Arabidopsis thaliana: one gene and its partner. The protein of the gene in region 2 interacts with the protein of the main gene of each other region in a pairwise test. Each region holds a gene or a part of one and is shown on either strand. Other genes may lie near its edges.

Region 1 (3,758 bases), on a different chromosome or scaffold from region 2:
TGATACAAATCAAATGATTATTACAATGAACAATAACTAGGAGAAGGGGCCATGTGGGTGACATGAGGTCGATGAGACGCATAAGTAAGGGGCAATGAAATGAAAATATGTTTTTGCTTTGGAGAGAATAAAAAAATGCAATGGGTGTGAGAATATTAAAGAGTGGATGTTTGGACTTTCTGTTGCAGAATCTGTGCCTGAATCTTGCAACCTCATCAATATCGCATGTTGTTATTAAACTTCTGCATACTCCAAATAAATACAATGTAGTACATTATTCCTTTTAATTTGACTTCTCTATCGTTCTTTGTCGTTTCTTATATCCACATCATCGTCCCTGTTTTAACATATGTCACCTTCCTCTTCATATACGAAGCATGTTGTTACTCTCACTCCATACAATTTTTGGACATTAATGACGGAATCTGACATTTTCATATAAGATAAGAGTTAGTTAGAACTATAAAGTGGTACAAATGTTTTACACTTCAAATCAATTTTGGTAAAGGTGAGACAATTTGGCATCTACATAAATGAAAGCATTGATTTTAACCAACGAGTGGTATATATGTACGTGCTAATTAACACGGGGTAAGGAATGTTGCATGTGACTAAGGACAACAACATTTAATCTACAATTATTAACGCAACATAACTACATCGACAAGGACTCAAATCATCTCATAACTTTTGTTAACTAACTCAAGCCAGTCTTGTTCATGATCGATGATGATCACACCGTCCCCAACCCAAGAAAATCGAAAAATGGTGGTTTCTTCTCCTCATTGATTCTTTCAAATATCTCACTCTTCCCGGTTTGGTTTAAGAAATCGAATGTAGTTGCCTCTTGTGTCCATGCAATGTAATCGCCAACCATCATTTGGGTTTCGAACATATCCACCATTAATGGACTCTCATTTTCATGATCATAACCTAAATAGTACAAAAAATGGAAGAAAATTAAGAAATGATATGGAATTAAAAACTGAAAGAAAAGAGAACACAAAAACTCAAACCTGGGAAGCAAGGAACTGGTAACATAAGCTGCTTATGGTCACTACTAGCAAGGTGGGTCAAAGCTAACCGGGTAGGGTCAAAATCATTGAAAATGTGAGGATTAGGGTTAATGAGTGGCTTAAGAGAAACCATCGTCTTCCTCCTACGGTAAGAAGAAGATTGTTCCCTAAACTTGCGAGCCATTATAACATGCCAATGGTTCTTCACAGAATTATCAGTCCTACCAGGGAAAAGCCTCGCTATCATCGCCCATTTGTTACCATAAAGCCTATGAGCTTGCATTAGCCTCTCTTCTTCTTCCTCAGTGAAGGCTCTTCTATTTATCCTTGGGTCTAGTTGGTTAAACCATCGAAGCCTACAGCTTTTCCCTGCTCAACATTAACACCCAAAATCTCAAGAACGTGAATCTTGTAAAAGCTTAATCAAGTGACAGAATTAACGTACCGGATCTTCCTTGGAGCTTCTCAGCTATGAGGTTCCAGTTTTGTGGACCGTAGACGGCGACTAGTTCTTTGAGCTTAGTATCTTCAGCTGGTCTCCAATGTCCTCTAGACACCGAAGCTTTTGACGAGTGTCCACAGCTTCTATAGACTGTTGTGTCTTTCTTGTTGCAATTACTGTAATCACTTAGATTAGGGTTCATGTCTTCTTCTCTATGACTTGTGTAGTAGCTACGGAGATGTTGAGCATTGTCGATATTTAAAGAGAAGTAGTCCGATGAAGTGGTCTGATCCATCGAATGGTGTTGATCTTCCGACATGATACAATGTTGTTGTTGGTTATAGTGATGATGTGAGGACGAAGACAAAGAAGACGGGAAGCAAGGTGTTATGGAGAGAGACGCCACGTCAGCATGCACCATCTCCATCCTCATTGGAGGAGAAGAGCAAATATTAAATATGACTTTGAACATCATAATTGATATTTGTGTGATATTATTACGTATGGCTCTAAGCTATGTGCGTGTATGTATATGTTGTGACCTTGTTTTCTGACAAAATGCTGTTATACAACTGTTAAAAGGTTCATGGACTGTCACGGACTGATTTGAAAGCTGATATATATTTCTATACATTTGTATTTATGCATTGTAAATTGTTTTCAACACTCAGTTTAATTTACATTCTAGATATTTTAATTTAGGATTATTGTATAAATAGTATTATTATCTCTGGTTTAAGTTATAACCAAATAGCTATAATCTACATTTACAATAAAATCCAATAACATTTTCACAATAATTGTCACTACTTAATTTTGAAAAAACTAGGAATGTGGAAACGTATAGAGATGAAAGAAATAAATAAAAATGCTAGGACAGAGAAAGAGTAAAGGACAGGGAACACGTTTCCTACGTTGTGAGCAGTGGAGATGTGTTTGGAAAAGTGGAGAGAGATGAAAAGTTGTTAAACATCCGTAAACATCTTTTTTTTTAGTTCAACTGCTTTTGTTCTTTGTTGCCCCAAACAAAACATCATATTATTCTACGATTGCTTGCCAAACAAAATCTTGGTATTATCTTGTTTGAATTTCGAACTATGAATATGATCTTCTTCTTTTTCTTTTTTGTTCAAGTAACAAGGCGATTTCACCCCAAGTTTTAACTATTTTCCGCTTGATACATATGAATTAAGCGTTAGGTATTCTTGTCATTTAATACATTCATAGTGGTCACTGCTCATGCATTATCAAAGTTTTGAATTCTATCTCACAACCAATTTGAATTAACCACTAAACCATCACAAATTGGTTGTTTATTTGTTTTTCCTTTACAAAGAAACCTACAATTTACAGAATCTTTTTTTTTTAAAAAAATAATTAATGATTTTGTTGTTGTTGTTGGTTGCTACCGAAAATTGGAAATAGTAATGAGGATGAAACTAAACATCTGAAGTAGTCCCAACTATAACAGCCAAAAAGGCTCAAAGCATACATTTGATTTGACTCTTGCGTCTTTTATTTTCTAACCACAATTATATCTCTCACGCACACTTCACATGTCTTTTCACCAATCCCCATTTATCTCTCACTCTCGACATTTTGATGGTTTATATGAAACCCTCTTTCTACGTACATAGCCGGTCTCTTCATAATGTGAATGTTAATGATCTTCCCAAACGAGTCCGTTTTTCATATAGTCTTGACTACTTGTTGCCATATCAATTCTACCATTTACTGATTTTAAAATTAACTATCCAACCATATGTCGCAGAATTCGCTGTTATAAATCATTTTTTTAAGGGATCGGCTAGACTTATTAAGTTATTATCGTTAGAATTTCTGTCGCAATATGAATATTCATAACACCATAATGCAATTTTAAAAAAGAATGTAAAGTATTTCTTTTTTTATTATTAATTAATTGTGCAGCTATAAATGCATATACGAAACATATATTATCCCATATATACAAAGGAAATACCTAGGTTTGGTGAGACTTTAAGCATAACGTAGATGTATTTATTTGACCAAAAAGATATCAATTGGCAGAGGAATACATTATCTCAGATTCAGAGTATTTGCTGCAGACTTGTACGGTCCATCTGCAGAGATTAACTCAACATTTCCTATGGTCCTTTTTTCTTGGTCAATAACTTTGAATATATACTTTCTTAATTTACACTAAATTTGTGTCATACAGTAGATGTGAGAATGGATAGTTACTTTTTCAAAGATACGCACTAACAAAGTAACACTAACCATTAGCAGGTTAATTAAGGATATCTACACCCAACCCAATT
Region 2 (3,758 bases):
ACGGAAGATATATAGAAGAATCGAAGAAAAGTAGAGAATAATGAGGAGTAAGTCAAATGATCAAATCCACGGACTAATCCATTATGTTTGATGTGACGAGAGAAAAATAAGTGAATATTTAATACTATATACTATAGTATATTTTTGCAAAAGTTAAAGGTGTTGCATTAATTTTTTGATAGCAAACAATTAAGGAAATGGGGGAAAAAGTGTAAGCGGGCGGCCAAGTGAAGACATTCTCTGTCGCCCACCCAAACACCAAAGAAGAGAAGGCGTGCCTCACTTTCCCTCTTTCTCCACGCACTTCTCCTTGCCCGTGTTTCTCACTCGCTTTACCCTAATCACTCCATTACAACTATACCTACAAGACCATTAAGATAAGCTTATCAATAAGAACACTGAGATAAAGTTGATCTCTATTTACGAATTGTTTACTACCAATAGATTTTGATTCGTACCAATCTTTTAAAGTATGTATGTATTGTTTGAATAGTAGTTCTACCGAACCAAAAATATTTTAATTGATCATGTAAAATATATTTAAGATTGTTGTGTGTTAATTATAGTGATCTTTAGAAAAAAGAGTAGCCAACGTGATAATGAAAGCGCGTGTTAAGAGTATTGAAACACTCACACGCTTGTGGAGGTTACCTGCTAAGTCGGTCGATTTGATCGATGGTGGGTCTTTTACACATCCCCAACGTCATTTACCATTTATTCAACCTCATATATTATGTTCTTGATGATGAAAAAGAACATAATATTTTTTTTTTTTTTTTTTTTTAATTTTTTTTTGATGATGATGAAAAAAAAAAATATTATGTTCTTTTTTAATTTCTTTTTAATATTTTTGACAGTAATTTTATTTTAATCTTATTTTGTTACAAATAGTTTTTAATACCTTAGGACCTGTTGGAACTTGGAAAAAAACAATATTTTTTAATATCTCAGGATCTTTGCCCATACATGTTTTGGGCACCCATGCGTTTATATGAAAAACAGCATGCAGATGTAAAATATAAACAACTGTAGATTTGGTCAGATGTTAAAATTTAAATTATGTCTTTTGAAATGTGACCTATAATTGTCCAGATAGATATACATAACTATTTAGTAATTGTAAGTCTATTTCCTGTAATGTATTCAGCTAAATGCATGTAGATAATCTGATATCACATACATCTATAGCCATATAGAGAATGCATAGTAACATCAACAACATATAAATTTTGGGCTATTTTCTAATGAGGGTTTTTGAGTATAAATGGATCTCCTAAAACGAGTTTACCGGATGGGTAAGGTAGTAGTTCCCTTTGAGTTTTCTTTCTGCTTTGTATAATTAAAACAAAGTAATTGATTAGGAACTTAGTAGGTCCTAAAGAGAACCAACAATGGTTTCGGTTATAAATAAACCAAATGGGTACATTATCCTTATATCTAGAAACTTTAACCAAAAACAAGATGTTATCTAGAAACAATAAATACATCCGGAATGAGACTTTTTCTTATGTAAGTCGATACAATGGGGGCATTGTTTTATTTCCCTTCAAATGAACTTTGCTTTTTGATCATTTTAAAAAGCCATATTGAAAAAATCAATGAGATAGGAAGATAGATATTATAATATTCTTTTTATAAAAAAGACAAAAAAAATACACTAAAACAATTGAATAAGAGTCAGCAAAACAACGACGTCCTTACCTTTTTTAAAAGTTTCCCAGTTTTGACTTTTGACCTAAACCATTTCCATGTAGAAAGAGAGCAAAAAACAAAACAAAACAAAGATAAGTAAAAAATAAAAATGATATAAAGAAGGAAGAAGAAGACCGAGAAAGGTAGACGAAAGAAAGAGCGTACCTTCCTCTTTCCTTCTTCGTAAAAACCAAGTTCCTTTTAAAAGGAGCCTCTCCTTTCTCATTTGATCCTTCTTCAAAAACCCCAACCACTTCTTCTCCCCAAAAACCTCCAAAGTTTCAATCTTTACTTCTCTCTTTTTCTCCAAGTTATCTTCTTTTCTAGGTATGTCTTGATTCTTTCTCTCTCTGTTTTTTCCTATTTCATTCAGGATTCTGGGTTTGGTTAAATCTTTAATCTTTATGGTTTTAATGGCTTGATTTTGACGAAACGGTCGTGTAATTATTCATTACTTTGCTTAAATTGGGGATTGATTTTGTGTATAAAGAAGAATCTTGAAAATGAAAAATTGAAACTTTGAATCGAAAGAACTCAATTTGCGTTGCTCTTTCTCATTCTTTGTTGCTTTCTCCTAAAAGTTTTTCACTTTTGAATCACAGGAAGAGATATGTGCGGTGCAAAGAGCAACCTTTGCTCATCTAAAACCCTAACAGAAGTCGAATTCATGAGGCAGAAATCAGAAGACGGAGCTTCCGCCACGTGTCTCCTCGAATTCGCCGCCTGTGATGATCTTTCATCGTTTAAGAGAGAGATCGAAGAGAATCCATCGGTGGAGATTGATGAGTCAGGGTTTTGGTATTGCAGACGGGTCGGGTCTAAGAAGATGGGTTTTGAAGAAAGAACACCACTTATGGTTGCTGCTATGTATGGAAGCATGGAAGTGTTGAATTACATAATTGCCACAGGAAGATCCGATGTGAACAGAGTTTGCAGTGACGAGAAAGTCACTGCTCTTCACTGTGCAGTTTCTGGCTGTTCTGTTTCTATCGTTGAGATCATCAAGATCTTGCTTGATGCTTCTGCTTCACCTAATTGTGTTGACGCTAATGGGAACAAACCGGTTGATTTGTTGGCTAAAGATTCTCGGTTTGTTCCTAACCAGAGTAGAAAGGCGGTTGAGGTTTTACTGACCGGGATTCATGGTTCGGTTATGGAAGAAGAGGAGGAGGAACTGAAGAGTGTTGTGACTAAGTATCCAGCTGATGCATCACTTCCTGATATTAACGAAGGTGTTTATGGAACTGATGATTTTAGGATGTTTAGCTTTAAGGTTAAGCCATGTTCTAGGGCTTATTCACATGATTGGACTGAATGTCCTTTTGTTCATCCTGGTGAGAATGCAAGGAGGAGAGATCCTAGGAAGTATCCTTACACTTGTGTGCCTTGTCCCGAGTTTCGTAAAGGGTCTTGTCCTAAAGGAGATTCGTGTGAGTACGCGCACGGTGTTTTCGAGTCTTGGCTTCACCCGGCGCAGTATAGGACACGGCTTTGCAAAGATGAGACTGGTTGTGCTAGGAGAGTTTGTTTCTTTGCTCATAGACGGGATGAGTTAAGACCGGTTAATGCTTCTACTGGTTCTGCAATGGTTTCACCAAGGTCGTCTAATCAGTCTCCTGAGATGTCTGTTATGTCTCCTTTGACGCTGGGATCATCGCCAATGAACTCTCCTATGGCTAATGGTGTTCCTTTGTCTCCAAGAAATGGTGGTTTATGGCAGAACAGAGTTAATAGCCTTACACCACCACCGTTGCAGCTTAATGGTAGCAGATTGAAGTCGACTTTGAGTGCTAGAGATATGGATATGGAGATGGAACTTAGGTTTCGCGGTTTGGATAACCGGAGACTTGGTGATCTCAAGCCATCCAACCTCGAAGAGACTTTCGGATCATATGACTCAGCTTCTGTGATGCAACTTCAATCACCAAGCAGGCATTCTCAGATGAACCACTATCCGTCTTCACCTGTGAGGCAGCCTCCTCCTCATGGATTCGAATCTTCAGCAGCCATGGCAGCTGCAGTGATGAATGCAAGATCCTCAGCGTTTGCGAAACGCAGCTTGAGTT

The links. Proteins that work in one complex are often made in the same cells at the same time.
Region 1: the proteins of CZF1 (region 2) and MYB105 interact in a two-hybrid assay, tested with the Arabidopsis thaliana proteins (one large-scale study listed by BioGRID).

Annotation. Positions count from the first base shown.
Region 1 is NC_003070.9:26,155,882-26,159,639, reverse strand, and holds MYB105 (myb domain protein 105), read right to left. Parts: upstream 1,939-3,758; 5' UTR 1,934-1,938; coding exon 1,462-1,933; intron 1,386-1,461; coding exon 1,017-1,385; intron 934-1,016; coding exon 734-933; 3' UTR 546-733; downstream 1-545. UniProt on the Arabidopsis thaliana protein: Probable transcription factor that involved in boundary specification, meristem initiation and maintenance, and organ patterning. Functions in both lateral organ separation and axillary meristem formation.
Region 2 is NC_003071.7:16,770,235-16,773,992, forward strand, and holds the start of CZF1 (zinc finger (CCCH-type) family protein), read left to right. Parts: upstream 1-1,762; 5' UTR 1,763-2,019; intron 2,020-2,294; 5' UTR 2,295-2,302; coding exon 2,303-3,758. UniProt on the Arabidopsis thaliana protein: Involved in salt stress response. May positively modulate plant tolerance to salt stress.